Linked DNA regions of Struthio camelus. The protein of the gene in region 1 interacts with the protein of each later gene in a pairwise test. Links are inferred from orthologs where the notes say so. Each region holds a gene or a part of one and is shown on either strand. Other genes may lie near its edges.

The links.
Region 2: the proteins of CDH1 (region 1) and CBLL1 interact in a two-hybrid assay, tested with the Homo sapiens proteins (2 studies listed by BioGRID, with this or other methods). The link is inferred for Struthio camelus from reciprocal best matches to the Homo sapiens genes CDH1 and CBLL1.

What each region holds. Positions count from the first base shown.
Region 1 is NC_090951.1:1,731,859-1,739,777, forward strand, and holds the start of CDH1 (cadherin-1), read right to left. Parts: upstream 3,436-7,919; 5' UTR 3,341-3,435; coding exon 3,266-3,340; intron 3,189-3,265; coding exon 3,083-3,188; intron 1-3,082. Other genes in the region: B-cadherin-like, read right to left, coding at 4,210-4,422, 4,508-4,651, 4,738-4,877, 4,957-5,178, 5,249-5,473, 5,555-5,697, 5,779-6,023, 6,098-6,283 and 5 more.
Region 2 is NC_090942.1:16,396,181-16,404,281, forward strand, and holds the start of CBLL1 (E3 ubiquitin-protein ligase Hakai), read left to right. Parts: upstream 1-4,697; 5' UTR 4,698-5,062; coding exon 5,063-5,075; intron 5,076-5,772; exon of another isoform or gene 5,773-6,162; intron 6,163-6,578; exon of another isoform or gene 6,579-6,653; intron 6,654-8,101. Other genes in the region: SLC26A4 (pendrin), read left to right, coding at 635-658. UniProt on the Homo sapiens protein: E3 ubiquitin-protein ligase that mediates ubiquitination of several tyrosine-phosphorylated Src substrates, including CDH1, CTTN and DOK1. Targets CDH1 for endocytosis and degradation.

The DNA.
Region 1 (7,919 bases):
CACACAGTGCTCAGCACCTGGCCCCACACTGGCTGCATGCAGCGAGTGCTCAGTGCTCAGCACCCAGCACCCACCCCCACATTGGCTGCATGCAGCAAGTGCTCAGTACCCAGCCCCACAGTGGCTGTGTGCAGCGAGTGCTCAGTGCTCAGCACCCAGCCCCACACTGGCTGCATGCAGCGAGTGCTCAGTGCTCAGCACCCAGCACCCACCCCCACATTGGCTGCATGCAGCAAGTGCTCAGTACCCAGCCCCACAGTGGCTGCGTGCAGCGAGTGCTCAGTGCTCAGCACCCAGCCCCACACTGGCTGCATGCAGCGAGTGCTCAGTGCTCAGCACCCAGCACCCACCCCCACATTGGCTGCATGCAGCAAGTGCTCAGCACCCAGCCCCACAGTGGCTGCGTGCAGCGAGTGCTCAGTGCTCAGCACCTGGCCCTGTACTGGCTGCATGCAGTGAGTGCTCAGCACCCAGCACCCACCCCCACACTGGCTGCATGCAGTGAGTGCTCAGCACCCAGCCCCACAGTGGCTGTGTGCAGTGAGTGCTCAGCACCCAGCACCCAGCCCCACACTGGCTGCATGTAGTGAGTGCTCAGCACCCAGCACCTTGCCCCACACTGGCTGCATGTAGTGAGTGCAGTGCTCAGCACACAGCACCTGGCCCTGCAGTGGCTGCATGCAGCGAGTTGCACAGTGCTCAGCACCCAGCACTTGGCCCTGCAGTAGCTGTATGCAGCGAGTGCAGTGCTCAGCACCTGGCCCTGTACTGGCTGCATGCAGCAAGTGCTCAGCATCCAGCACCCAGCCCCACAGTGGCTGCGTGCAGTGAGTGCTCAGTGCTCAGCACCCACCCCCGCACTGGCTGCATGCAGTGAGTGCTCAGCACCCAGCCCCACAGCGGCTGCATGCAGTGAGTGCTCAGTGCTCAGCACCCACGACCTGGCCCTGCACCAGCTGGCTGCGGCGAGCACGCAGCGCTCAGCGCCCGCTCGGCCCCCCTTCCCGCCCCGGCCGTGTGCACAACCTGTTTTTCCAGCTCCCGGCTGGAAGAAACCTCCCTCGCAGCCCAGCCGGATCGCCGCCGGGGCAGGGGGCCGCGGCCGGGCGGCGCGGCGGCTCTGGCGCTGGCGAGGGGGGGCGGGGGGGGGGGCGGTGCAGCACCCGGCTCCCACGCTTCGCCCACCACCCCCGGGGAGCCCAAAAATCGCCGAGGCGCCTGCCAGGGACCCGGCTTGGCCCGGCCGCGCTGCCCGCCCGGCGCTCCCCGACGCGCGGGGGCCGAGGGACCCCCGCCGGGGCTCCCCGGCGCCCCTCAGCCCGGCGGAGGGCCACGCGCGCCCCGCTTCCGCCGGCGGCACGGCCGGGCGCCAGCCGCGCCGGGGGGCTTGCGCAAGGGCGGCCGCGGCGGCGCCCGGCTGACGTCACCCCCAGTTTCGCCCTGACTTCAGACTTTCGAGGTTTCACCCACCCGGGGCTGAGTCAGCAGCGCCCCCGCGCCGGGCCGCGGCTCCCCGGGGACCGCCGCCGCGCTACGGCCTGGCACGACGCAGCCGGCGGCGCCGGGCAGCTTTCGCCGGGGGGAAACCGCCTCTCCCTCGGTGGGGAGCTTCCCGCCAGCCCCGCTCGGCCCCGGCGGAGGCGGCAAGCCGAGGACGCGTCCGGCGCGGCCCCCGCTCGGCGCAGGTGTCCCTCCGTCCTGCCCCGGCCAGGCCCTATCCGGACCCGCCGCGGGGCGGAAAACCCCAGGTGCCGCTCGCCAGCCGGCCGCAGCGCTCCCTCCTCGCCCCCGGCCCCAGCGCCAAGCTGGGAGCGCCGGCGCGGGAAAGCGGGGCCGGCCGCGGCTCCGGGGAGCGGGCCAGCCGAGCGCCTTCGTTAATGATCAGCCACAAAGCTAACGAGCCTGGCATTCGCGAGGGGCGACGGCTTGGCCGGGGCCGAGGGCGGTTTTGGGAGCCCCGCCGCGCGGCGGGCCAGCCTTCGCCCCGGCCAAACCGGAGCACACGGCGGCGCGGGGCGAAAGCGCCGGGAGCCGGCGCTCGGCGCGGCATGGCCACCCCGGCGCCGGGAGAAGCAGGGCGTCGGGGGCTTGGGGGCCACTCGGGGATGCTCGCAATGAGAGTTTGTGGAGGCAGCGGCTGGGGCGCCCGCCCTGCCGGGACAGGTATTTCGCGTCGGCGCGGCCTGCCGAGGCACGGCCTCGACGCCGGCCCCTCCGCGGGCGCCGCAGCAGGGGCCCGGCGGGCTCCGGGGGCCGCGAAACGCGGCAGGTGCCCCGGCGCGGCCCCCCGCCCAGGCCTGCCCGCCCCGACAGGTCTGCGTGCCTGAGTCAGCGCCCGCCGCCCCGGCGCTCCCGGCGAAAGGGCAGCCCGCCCGGCGCCTCCGCTCCTTAACGCTTTCGTGGCGGTGGTGGAGCTGCCCCGGCTCTGCCCCCATCGCCACCGTGGAGCCGTGCACCGCCGTGGGCACCGCGCAGGGCATCCGGGCACACGGCCCCGGCTCTGCCCCCGTCGCCACCGTGGAGCCATGCATCGCTGTGGGCACCATGCAGGGTGTCCGGGCACATGGCCCCGGCTCTGCCCCCATTGCCAACGCGGAGCCGTGCACTGCCGTGGGCACCGCACCGGGCACCCGGCTGCCCTCCATGGCCCCGGTCGCCCTCGGAGCCGTGCACCACCGTGGGCACCGCGCGGGGTGTCCGGGCACACGGCCCCGGCTCTGCCCCCATCGCCCTCGGAGCCGTGCACCACCGTGGGCACCACGCAGGGCATCCGGGCACACGGCCCCGGCTCTGCCCCCGTCACCACCGTGGAGCCGTGCACCACCGTGGGCACCACGCAGGGCATCCGGGCACACGGCCCCGGCTCTGCCCCCGTCGCCACCGCGGAGCCGTGCACCACCGTGGGCACCGCGCGGGGTGTCCGGCCGCACCGTCGCGGCTCCGCGGCCCCGGCCGCCCTCGGAGCCGTGCACGACCGTGGACGCCGCGCGGGGCAGCCGGCCGCGTGGCCGTGGGAACCCGCGCGTCCCGCCCACGCGCCCCGCGCGCCTCGGCCGCCCACGCCGCCGCCGTCGCGCCTTACCTCGGCCCAGGGCTCTGCCCGCCGCCGCCCCGTCCGGCCGCCCGGCGAAGGCGAAGGTCCCGGCGGCGAAGCCGGGCTGGCAGGAGCCGCGCAGCCCGCTCCCGGCCTGCCACGAGAGAGCCGTCAGCCCCCGCCCGTCCCGCCCGTCCCGTCCCGTCCCGTCCGTCCCGTCCCGTCCCTCACCTGGAGCAGCAGCAGCAGGAGGAGGAGGAGGAGGAAGAGGCACAGCGGGGCCGGGCAGCCCCGCCGCGGCCCCATGGCGCGGCCGAGCTCGGGGGTGCGGAGCCGGCGGCGGAGCGGAGCGCACTGCAGCCCGCAGGTGGGTCGCGGCCCGCCCCGTCCCGGCCCGCCCCGCAGGTGCCGGCCCCGTCGGGAGGCGGTGCCGCCCCGGTCCGCCCCCCCGGGAGCCCTGGGCCGGCTGTGAGAGCTCCCCGAGGGCCGCTGGGGTGTGCGTGGGGGGGGGGGTCTGAGGACCCCCGGGATGGTTCGCAGGTGTCCTGCGAAATCCGTGGGCGCCCTGGGAAGGCTGCGGGCGCTTCGCGGGGTCCCCGGGGCTCTGCACGGTCCCCGGGAGCATCACGGGCTCCTTCGGAAACCCTGGGGCTGCTTTTGGTGGTCCAAGAGGGCCGCGGGGAGCCTGGGAGGGCTGTGGGTGCCCCGGGAAGCCCGTAGGCGTCATGGCTGGGTGGGGGGGCTGTGGGTGCCCTATGGATGCTGGAGGAAATCCGTGAGCGCCCTGGAGCCCCGGGAGGGCCGAGGGCACCCCGGGAGGTACCCAGGGGACGGAGGGGCCGGCGGCTCCCCCGCGCCTCCGGCGAGCAGGGGACAAAGTCCGGCCGAGCACGAGCAAACAGCGCGGCGGTAAACAGCAGCGCGGGGAGGGGGGGGACGGCGCCGCCACGCAGCCCCGCAGAAACTTAAAAACCAAGAACAAACCAAAAAAAAAAAAAAAAAGGGCCTCCTTTATTTAAAAGTTGCACCAGAACCCGCTCACCCCGCGTTTAGCATCGCGCTAGCTTTATTTCCTAGTCAAAAACAAAAGGAGAAAGGGAGAGGAGGAAGCCAAGGGCACTTCGGGGGGGGGGGGGGCACGGCCCCAAGGCCTGGCCCGGGGGCGGCGGGGGGCTCTAGTCGTCCTCCTCGCCGCCGCCGTAGAGGTCCGCCAGCTTCTTGAAGCGGTTGCCCCAGTCGTGGAGGTAGTCGTAGTCCTGGTCGCGGTCGGAGGCGGAGGAGTGGAGGGAGCTGAGCGAGGTGGCCTCCGAGCCGCTGCCCTCGTAGTCGAACACCAGCAGCGAGTCGTAGGGGGGGGCCGTGGGGTCCGTGTCGGCCGCCTTCAGGTTCTGGGGGCAGAGAGGGGCAGCGTGGGCCGGGGCTCGGCGGGGCGGCCCGCGCAGGTGGGTGGGCGAGCGGGCGGCGGGGACTCACCTCGTCGATGAAGTTGCCAATCTCGTCGGGGTTGGCGGGCCGGGGCCGGTACTGGGGGGCCGCCATCAGTGGGGGGGCCACGTCGTTGCGGATGACCTCGGGGCGGGCATCCAGCCCCCGGTGCAGCTGGCTCAGATCATAGTCCTGCACGGGGCCGGGACGGGGGGGGGGGTGAAGGCGGACGGCGGCCGTGCCGCGTCCCCCCCACCCCTCCAACGCCGCGCACCCACCTGGTCCTCCTCGCCGCCGCCCTCCTCGCCGTAGCAAAACACGTTGTCCCGCGTGTCGTCCTCGGGCGGCAGCAGCGGCGGCTCCTTGGCCGCCCTCCTCCTCCTCCTGCCTCCGAGCAGCAGCAGCAGCAGCAGCAGGACTGCGGCAGAGGCGCGGGGTGAGGACGGGGCGCCCGGCCCCCCGCCGCCCCCCGCCGCCCCCCGCCGCCCCACGCTCACGCAGCAAAGCCAGGAGGGCGCCCAGCGCTGCCAGCACCAGGGGAGCAGCGGCGGCGGCGGGGGGGGCCGGCGGCCGGGGGCAGCTCTCGGCGTGCCCCTCGCAGTCGCAGACCCGGGCGGCCAGCACGGTGAGCTGCTCCCTGCCGCGGCCGTCGAAGAGGCGCAGGTAGACGCTGTAGAGGGCCTGCTGCAGCGGCGCCGTCAGCCGCAGCGTCACCGTGTCTGCGGGACAGGCGGTCAGGCGGGGGCGGCGGGGGGGGACGACACACACACGCCGCCCGGCCGCCCTCACCCTCGCCGCTGACTTCGGCGGCCCAGCTGTCGGCCGAGCCGTGGGCCAGCTCGGCCCGGAAAGGCGCCGCGTTGGGCGGCAGGTCCCGGTCGACGATGGCCAGGACCTGAGGCCGGGGGCTGCGGTTGCAGACGACGACGTCCCGGGGCCGGGGCTCGGGGCCGTGGTCGTTCACGTCGAGCAGGGTGAGGAGCAGGGTGCCGGTGCCGGTGGCCGGCGGCGAGCCTGCGGGAGGAGCCACGCTGCCCACGAGGGTCCCGGGCGCCGCCGGGTGCACCCGCCGCGGCCGCGCGGGGCCTTCCTCACCGTCGTCCTCGGCCAGCAGCACGGCCGCGTAGGTGCTGTCCCTGGCGAAGGGGGCCTCGCGGTCCAGCGGGGCGCGCGCCGTGACGAGCCCGCTCTCCGGGTGCACGGCCAGCCAGCCCGCCGGGTCGCTGCCCAGCCGGTACCTGCGCGGCGAGACGGCGCCGTGGCGGACACCGGCGACGGGGCCGGGTCCCAGCATCGGCGGCGGCGCCACCGCCGCTCACCTGAGGCGCTGGCCCCGCGCGCGGTCGGGGTCGCGGGCCGTGTAGGCGGCCACGGCGTGGCCCAGCGGCACGTCCTCCGGCACGCGGGCCGCCAGCGCCGGCGGCTCGAAGGCGGGCGCCTCGTTCACGTCCTCCACGCCGACCGCCACCGTGGCCGTGGCCGCCGGCAGCTTCACGGCGAAGGGCGCCGCGTTGGCCACGGCCACGTGCAGCACGAACTGCCCCCTGGCCTCGTAGTCCAGAGCCTGGGAGAGGGGACGGGCATCATCGCCATCGGCATCGCCCCAGCCGGCGGCGGTGGCGGGGCGCCCGCACGCACCTTGGCGGTGCTGAGGACGCCCTCGTTGCTGGCGGGGTCCGTGGCGATGGCGAAGGCGCCTCCCTCGTCGCCGCCCACGATGGTGTAGACAGCCCGCCACGCCGGCGTGTTCGGCTCGTCCAGGTCCGTCACGGCCAGCCGGGCCACTTCCCGCCCGGCCTCGTTCTCCGGCACGGCCGCCGCGTACTGCGGGGCCCGGCGGTGCTGAGAGCCCGGGCCCCCCGCGCCGCTGCCGGCCCGTCCTGCACCCGCAGCGACCGCCCGGCCCGGGGCCCCGGCTGCAGCGGGCACAATCCTCACCCCCCCCCCCCACGCACGACCCTCATTGCTCCCCCCATGCCCGTGCACGAGCCTCATCCCCCCGTGCACGAGCCTCATTGCTCCCCCCATCCCCGTGCACGAGCCTCATCCCCCCGTGCACGAGCCTCATTGCTCCCTCCATCCCCGTGCACGAGCCTCACTCCCCCGTGCACGAGCCTCATTGCTCCCCCCATCCCCGTGCACGAGCCTCATCCCCCCGTGCACGAGCCTCATTGCTCCCTCCATCCCCGTGCACGAGCCTCATCCCCCCGTGCACGAGGCTGGTCTCCCCCCCGCCATGCACAAGGCCAGTCCCCCAGCCCGGGGGGGGGGACAAGGGTCCCCCTCCAGCCCTGGGGCTCCATGCTACCGTTTTGGGGTCAAACTCAGGCGCGTTGTCATTGACGTCGGTGATCTCGATGACGGCCAGCGCCGTGGTGGTGAGCCCGTCGCCGTCCAGGTCGGCCGCCTGCACGGTCAGCGTGTACTCCCGCACGCGCTGCGAGCGGGCAGACAGACACCGTGAGCCCCGCGGCGGCCCACGCGGTGCCCCAAGCCCCCGGCGCCTGGCGCCCACCTCGCGGTCCAGCCCGCTGGCGATGACGCCGATGGTGCCCGTGGCCCTGTTGATGGTGAACATCTGGCGGTGGGGCTCCCGCGGCTCCTGGCTGAGGATGGAGTAGGCGATGACGCCGTTGTAGGTCTCCACGGCGTCGTCGGCGTCCGTGGCGTTCACGGGCATCACGGGGGTGCCTGGAGGGATGCGGCACCCGCGTCAGCGGGGACGGGCACCCACATCCCCCGGGGGATGGTCCCCGGGGTGCCGCGGTCGGGCGCCTACCTGGCAAAGCGCCCTCCGGCACCGAGCCCCTGAACACCTCCTGGGTGAACCGGGGCTTGTTGTCATTCTGGTCCGTCACCGTGATGATGATCTCCATGGGCTCCTCCACGGGCTGCCCGTTCTCGGACACGGCGTGGGAGAAGAGCTGCGGGGACGCAGGGGTGAGCGGCCCCGCGGCGCCGGCCAGCGCGGCGCCCAGCGTCCCCCCGGCCACCACCTACGTGGTACTTGTCTATGTGCTCCCGGTCCAGCGGCTGCGTCACCTTCATCCAGCCCGTCTCCTTCTCGATGGTGAAGACGCCCTCGGGAGGGGTGTCCGCCCCCTGCCCCGTGATGCTGTAGAAGATCTTTGTCTCTCTGTCCCGGTTGGATTTGATCTGGGTGGGGAGACGCAGCCCGGATGCAAGGGGGATGGGCACAGCCAGCATCTCACTGTGCCCTCAATGCGCAGACCCATGCACAAAGCTCAGGACCCCCCTGCCCCGATGCAAGGGGGATGGGCACAGTCGATGTCTCGCCCTGCCCAGGGCACATGCATCCCCACCAAGACCCAATACCCCTGCCCAGACAGACGCCTTCCATACCTGAACCAGCTTTTTGGGGAACGGGCCCCTCTCATTTTCGGGAACCTTGATGGGAGGGATCACCCAGTCCCTCTTCTGCCTCCTCAGAGGAGAGCGG
Region 2 (8,101 bases), on another chromosome or scaffold:
ATCAGGGCTCGTTCAATAGATTGTGATATTTGGCACTCCTGATTTCAACCCCTCCTTTTTTTGTTTGGTATGAATATTGCAAGAGATCCAAATATTACTTTTTAGCACACACGAGACAAACACACTTCTTCCACTTCTCTGGTGAGTACTCTAAGCAACAGGTTATTGTGGGGAGAAGCACTTTCCACTCCTCTGGAAGCCACTGGGCAGAAAGGAGTGAAGGATTCACAAAGCTATGAAGATAAGCAGGCCAAAAGCCCTGGCTTCTGATTCCGATTCCCAAGAGAGCTTAGTTATTTACATTACAGAAAAATAAGGAAAAGAATGCTGGCACAAAACCACCAGTCCAAGGTCAAACCGTTCTGAGAGGTTTCCATCCTCCACCTTTATGGCCAGTTTTTTTGAAGGCAAGAGCTAGTACCTTTCAGATCTGCAAATTCCTGACCGAAGTGTCTGATGTAGGCTCCAGTTAGAGGGGGGCTGTTTCGAAGAGACCTTTTACAGTTACTTTATTTGTACTTTCATTGAGGCCAGGTTGGTAACTTGTACATAAATATTTTATTTTTCCAAGTGATTTGTACTCAGCACTAACCATTGTCCCTTTCTCTCCACCTTTTGAAAAACTTGTCAATAGGCTATGCGCAGACTCGCTTCATGAAGAACTGCTGGTACTGTCATACCTGTGAACTCACAGCAATATTTATGCACCGGTATTATAAAAACATTTTCTGCAATGAAACCAATCTTTGCACTTGAAGAAAACCCTGATTCCTTGTCTGAATGATGCAGATCTCTAGAAATCTCCACATTTGACTACCATTATCCCTGAAATACTCCAGACTGATTCAGTGAGCAAGTTCTGACCTGATACGTTGATAAAAAAAAATCTATTACAAAAGACTTAATCAGTTTTGGAACTAGTCAGGGGGAAGGTGCATCACACCGTCACTTCAGTGTGTTCAGGAAGAAAAGCTGCTTTGTGTTAACCTAGCCCAGGGGAGTTGAAGAGACTCAAATGTTTTGATCGGAGACCTCCTGTTATGTATTTGTACAACGCCTAGCAAGAGGACAGGAGTTCTAGCTGGCCAAGGCTTTGCAGTCCTAGAACGTTAAGGTGACCACACTTGCTGACAAAACTCTTGAAAAATGCACCTCAATAGTTCTTTCCAAGCAATTCCTTGAATTGCTGCAGGTTGTTAGATAAATGAAACACAGGACAAGTGACAAAGTCACACAAACACAAAACTGTGTGCTGCACTACTATAAAACAATAATTAGGATAAATTTCAATAGAAAAGGCCCTCGGATAGTGGTTCATTAGTTCTGCATTCATCCCATTGTAGTAAATCATGCACTCCTGTTAATGAAAAATTAACAAGTATAAAAAAATCAAAAAAATCAAGTATACGCATAAGATTATTTTGGCTAGGTTATGTATCTATAGCTGATCGAGAGGCAGATCATGACATAGATTAACGAAAACCTTATTCCACAAATACGTAATGAAATTTGTAGAATGGGCTGCTACAGAATATAAGTCAGAATGTGAGCTAGTATAAGGTTTTTTAATGAATTGTAGGAGTTTAGTTAGTTTAAGGAATAGCTATTTTTTTATATAGCATATATATTTTTTAATATACTACATCAAACAGCTGCTGTTCTTCTACAGGAAACATATAGACATTTGACAGTCCATAATGCTCAAGTGCAATAATTTACACAAGACACAGGATTCAAACTGCAAAATTTTAATCCTTGATTTTAGGACTATATAAAATACATATGCAAGAAATCAATGATCTTAACTTCATCATGAAGAAACTGGTTTCAATGGAAAACAGACTGCTACCTTAAATATTTTAGCACTATCTTAATTTTTAAAATGGAGAAAAACCTGTGTGGTGAGGGAATATGTAATACCAAAAGCTTAAGAAATACAGACTCTAAAACCCCTTTAAGCTTCACCATGTGGGCCAATTAGCTTTAGTACGTTCACATATTTAAGTCTCTTTATTCAAGTATGTCAGACAAATTTTCTTGTATCACACTGCACAGAGAAGACTGTTATGTTACTGCAGGTGATGTTAATGGAAAAATCTCAGGTGAAAAGCCGAGCACTAGGTAAGTTATTCTTCTCTAAGGACCGGAGTGAACTCTTTCAAAATCAGTGAAAAAAATTCCTATAAACTTCAGTCAGTTGACCAGGATCCTTCCACAATGGGAAACTGCACCAAAGACTGTCGTCTTCATTCTCTAAATAAGACAAAAACTTCAGCCTTCATGGCACTCGGCAAAGTTTCTCATTTCAAATGCAGTAAAGGTTTGATCCTACATGATATTGATGTTCTAGTTCAAACCAGCAAAAACGCAGGCCTGCGCTTAGAGTTAGGAACGAGCAATTCTTACGTCAGACAGGCTTCTCCACAAGCTGAGAGTTAGGTATGTGTTTAAGAGCCAAATCAGACCGACCTGCACCTCCTAAGATGGAAGCATTGATTAAACTTACACTAATGCTTAGGCTCAGGCTGTGATTTGACACTTCAGGCTTTTAGGAAATAATAGCAAACACTTCCTATCTTCATTCTCTCCCCCTCCATTTGCCAGCATAACTCAGGAGGTTGGTGCTTCTGCCAACATTACTGACAAACCTTTCATATTAGGCCATGGCCTCAGTTTATATTATCCTGCATACAAGCCACTGCTGCCAATGCACGTGAATGAAGGATAAGGCCAGTAGCATGTTTCTCAGAGGATGTATTGTTCCTCTAAAGTGGATGTACATTTTATGTAAAAAGCAAAAGGAAACATTCTGCTTGGGACTGGTAAAGGAGCTTTCTGCTATTTTTAGGCAGAACAAACACCGCAGAAAAAAGTGATATTAGAAAGATAGCAGTGAATGTTTTGTCCTTGAGAGAACATCTGCACTGTGAAGTTTGAGCACAGATTCTTACTTGACAAAAATGTGGGCACAGATTATTTTCGAACCTTCTCTAGTTCTTGCCCATATAGGTATTTAGAAAAAATACATATATATATATTTTCAACAGTCTTCTAGCTTTCTTTACAAATATGACATTTTAGCTGGAATTAGTTGTAATAAAATACAATGCAACGCACTTATTTTTGGCCTGCATATTTCTTCAAGGCAAGGTTGCATTTCTTAACTTTATTATTAAAAAATATTCACCTTTCCTGAATAATAGCATTTCATATAAAGCTTACACTTGCCCAAAACAATAAAGAGCAACATGCAGAAGGCATTCAGATGCCTTTTTCAGTGAGGCAGGGAATACGTGCCTTTTAACACTCTTATCTACATATCCATCAAAATGAAGAATACCAAAATAATAGGTTTTGTAATGAAGCTGAAATTCTGTACAATTTTGTACTAATTCAGACATCCATAAGTAATGCACAAGATATATGTGATTATCTTTTTCAGCTGAATGCAGAAGTGATATTTTTATCTGCACTTGTGATTACTACCATCTTTGCACGTCAAATATTAAATTGGAGACGTATTTGTTTTTTACCCTTTTAAAAAGGCTACATTTTAAAAGTCATTATGTCCATTAACTAGAAAATAAAGTTGTGCATACTGAAAAGTTTCTCCATGCATCTGTTCTGTTTTTAAAAACTGTTCTTTTTGTGAATTCATATTATGGTGAAATAAAGTGTATTATGTAGGGATAGGTTTCTCATTTCCCTTACATCTGCCACTTATTTTAGACAACCAGCAAAGTCTCTGTACCTTCTGGGGATAAGAGAAGATACAGTAGGCTTAAATCACAGCTTTTTAATGGTAAGGCTAATTTTAAGGTAATGAGAAGAGCTGTCTGCATGGACACAAAGTCACAACCCTGGAGATTCAGCAAGACAAGCAGTCATCAGTTTTAAGTGTCTGAAGTAGAGCTGTCCCCACCTTACAACTCTGGAAGGGTTAAGAGACTTAAGCTTTACGATCCCTTTAAGCCCTATAGACTATGATTTAGTTATTTTTATATTCCTCTCCTTTCTTCAGTGCTATAAACCTGTTCTATAGACAGTCTCCCCCTTAACTGGTCAGAAGTCACAAAAAGCTAAGTTTATGAAAATATCAGAACAGTCACAGAGCTCTAGTGCTATCAAGCTTTAGGATGCACTGGAGTTTGCTGCTCCCTTAAGTCACTAACTGTTTTGTTTGTCTGGTTGGTTTTTAAGTAATCCTGACTACGGGATTGCTCTGAGCGCAAGGAATTTGTCCCGTCTCTGGTAAGACTTAAGGCAGCTCATCAGCAGCTGACAGAGCCCAACGTGGCTTCAAGCCCGGCGACTCGCCCAGCTTCTTCAGAAACGGGCAGCAGGCGCGGCATGCCGCCGCGCCGCCCGCAGGCAGGGCGGCCGCAGCCCCCGCGCACAAAGCCCGGCCTCCTCCGTGCTGTTTCCCCCTCCTCCACGAAGGCGCACGTTCACGTCCGTGTTTCCAGGGCCTTTGGAAGCCCGCGCAGGGCAGCGAGCTGCGGCCTCAGGGGGGCCCAGGGCGGCGCGCAGCGCAGGCCGAGCCGCCCGCCGGCAGAGCGCGGCGCCTGAGCGGACCGCACGGAACCTCCCCGCCGCCCCGGGCAGCGCCAGGGCCGCGGCCGGAGCCGGGCGAGGGCCGCGCCGCCCCGGGAAAGCCCCGCGCAGGGCGGCCAGGCCCCTCTCCGCCAACCCGCCGCCATCCCCGCAGGCACCCCATGGCGCATGCGCAGCCCTACCAAGGTGTGGGGGGAGAACCTCGAGGCAGCAGGCCGCCAGCCGCTATCCCAGCGGGCGCTGCGGCAGCACGGCGCTCCCCCACCGCCTTCTCGCGGTGCCTGCTGGGAAAGAGAGGCGCCAGTTACGGCTCGGCGCCGCTTCGCCAGACCCCCGCCGCTTCGCCGCCGGCTCCGCCGCGCCCTCGGTGTCTCGCAGTCGCTCCGCAGAGACGCGCCGAGCGCTGCGCCGCGGACTTATCCCTAGAGCGCCCTTTTTCACGCCCGCCTCCCGGCAACTTCCGCTTCCGGCCCCACCCTTCCGCTCCCACAGTGCCCCGCGCCGAATCATGGACCACAATGGTGAGGAGGGGAGAGGCCGGGAGACCCATTTATACCCGTCCCCGACCGGGCCCGCTCCGCGCCGGCGGGCGGCGAGCGGCCGCGGTCGGGGCCGCCGGGCTGGGGGCGGTGCGAGGGTGGTGGGGACGCGGCCCGGCGCCCGGTAACGCGGGCGGGGCCTGAGGTTCGCCGCCGTTCGCCGCGGCCCGCGCGGCGGGGCCTGGTCGTTCCCTTCCGCGCCCGCCGCCGCCGCGGTCTCGCGCCCTCCAACGGTCCTGCGGCGCGCGCGGGGCTGCCCTGACCCCCCCCCCCCCAACCCGCGCGCGCGAGCGGCCCAACGGCCGCCTCGGCGGCGCCCCGTGGCCAGGGGAGGCGGGGGCGCTGGCCACGGCCCCGGCCGGCGAGCGGCGGCGGCCTCGGCGCAGCCTCGGGCTTGAGCGCGGCGGCCGCCGGGCGCCAGCGGGCCGTGTGGCCGGAGCCTGCGGGCTTGCAGCAGGTGGAGGCGGCCCGTGGCGCTCGGGAGGTGGGAAAGAGGCGCTCGTTTCCCGAGATCGGTGCCGATGATGTCTTTTCTGCTTCCCGGATCGCGCTCCGGAGATTCTCGGGCGTTTTCTTATGTCGCGCGTGAAATTTGTTCTTGTAGCGTTGATGTTTTGCTCGTTGGTATGCTGGCGTAATCTAATGAATACATAAGTAGATGACTTTTTTTTTTCCTTTAGGAATGACTGCGCTATAAGCACATATAGTATAGTATTCCAACTATATTTATAAATTAAAAAACAAAAGCTTAGAGTACAAAAAAAAGCTTCAGAGAAGCTGATGGAGACGACAACTTAAGAGAGTGTCTCACTTTTCATCGTATCTTCTCAAATAGTCTAAACAACTTTGCTACGTTTTTCATATTTTTTTCTTGACTTATTCCTGCTAGTTATGCTTACACGAACTTGAGGTTATCGTTCTCCTATGAAATAGGAATGACTAATACACTTGTTCGTTTGGATTAGTTGAGCAACTAAGTCACGTAAATATTCCTAGCTTGCAAAGGTATATGGAAGAGAAGTATCAGAACTCCATTTTCTCCTGTTTTTGGTTCAGTGGACTAAATGAGGTAAAAAAATTTCTGTTTTTAAAACTTATTTTAATTGTTCCCATTTGTAAAAGAATTGAAGTCCTGCAGAGACCTTTTTGGTCTCTAGTGTAGTGCCTTTGTGTGTTCAATTCAAGATTGTTTCCTCTCATTCTGCCCCAGTAGCACTGTTTGCCTTAGGTTTTCTGTTAGAGGACTAGTGATTAGTCTCAGAACTTTTGTAACAGAAAACAGAACTTCCAGCTCATGGAACGTCAACAGCTCTAGCATTATTGTCTCTGATGTTCTAGTCTAACTGCCTCTGGGTAAGCCTTGTATTTGAGTTGCATGTTTGCTGGATCATCTGTTTAGCCAACAGGATGGCCTAAACTCCCCCAAATTAACAAAAGTAAAAGCAAGCTTTATTGCCTTTGCTATTTTTACATTTTGCCTTTTAGATTGAAACGTGTCAACCACAGTACTAAGAAATAAATAGACTTGACCCAAAGAAAATTGGCGTTCTTGATTTTGAGGTAAAGTAACTGCTAGGGCGCAGTCCCAACTTGCAACTTGTCTCAGTTCCTAGTTTTGATATTAGCTGCTGAATGACTTTGAGCAAGTCCTCATTAACCTTTTTTTTTCTGTTTCTCCTTCTTCTTGTTGTGTTGTATATGGAGATTATAAGCTTTGAGGGACAGTAGTTGTTTATGTGAGGTATTGTGCAGTGTTACACTCCCTGGACCTAATTCCAGTGTCCAGATGCTTCCCTGTTGCAATGCTTTGGAGCCGCAGTAGTCATGCCAGAGCTGTAGTGCCGTATCTGAGGTTGAACAGTAGGGCTCACTCTATAATAGCTTGTGGCACTCTCCTTGGGGGCTGAGAAGGTCCCACTTTTAAACATTACCAGCTGATGCTAACCCCTCTCTTGACAGACCAGAAGTGACAAGGATGTTAAATATTTGTGTCCCTATCTTTCCAGCTACAAACATGGACAGGACTTGCACTGGAAATATTTTGCAAGGGGGACAAACCCAAAACCCAGCCCTCCAAAATGCCAAGACATGCAAGAGAGTTCCTAATGAAATTTTTGATTGCTTGTGTTTGAAAACATAAGTTTAGCTGCTGTGTTCCTGCTCATGGTCTTGCATGTCTGTCTATCCTGTAATGGATGTTGAGTTAAAGGCTTATAAATATGAGTCTAGTAATGATTTTATAGAAGTTTTATTTTTTATTACAAAGAGCTGATGGGCATGTACATTGATAGAATAGCGTGATGTGTCAATTTGTGAGACATCTTTTATGTTTGTATAAATGAGATGCTATATAGTGGGTTAAGGTAGACTTACTGAAAGTTGGGAAGGTGTGTGAATTGTACCCCTTCATGTTGTCTGAGTGTTGCCTGTTACAGTACTGACTCCTAGATTATGCATTCAGGCCCATATCTACACGTGTGTGTTGAACTGTTGCTTTCTTCCTTTGCCCTGGTACTCAGATTTAAAACTGGTTAAAGAGAATTCTGTATAGGAGGGAGTGCTAATTTTTAATTTAGCAAAGATATTACTGTGTACTGTAAGCATCAATATTTTTTTGGTGCTTTGCACTGAACTCCCAAGTGATATGTGAAGTTGCTAAGAGTTAGCATGGAAACTAGTTTCCTTCCAGCTTGCTTAGTAAACAAGTTGTGTAGATTTTCTTGTGAGAAAAGGTCATTTTTATTGTTTGCATAATCAAGGTTGTATAAAGAGTTGTATTCAACCTGTGATAGGAGCAGTACAATAGTTGACAGTCATTTTCCTGTTATGGAGAGCGGACAGGCTATCTCTGACAGACAAGCTACTTTTAATAAAATAACGTTATTTCTAAAACTACATTTCCCAAGATCACAGTTGTTCCCCAAACAATTTTGTGACCTGATTTCTAGAAGAAATCATGTGTGAAGAGATTTAAGATCATTTTCTAGTGGATAAACTTTGGTGTGTTT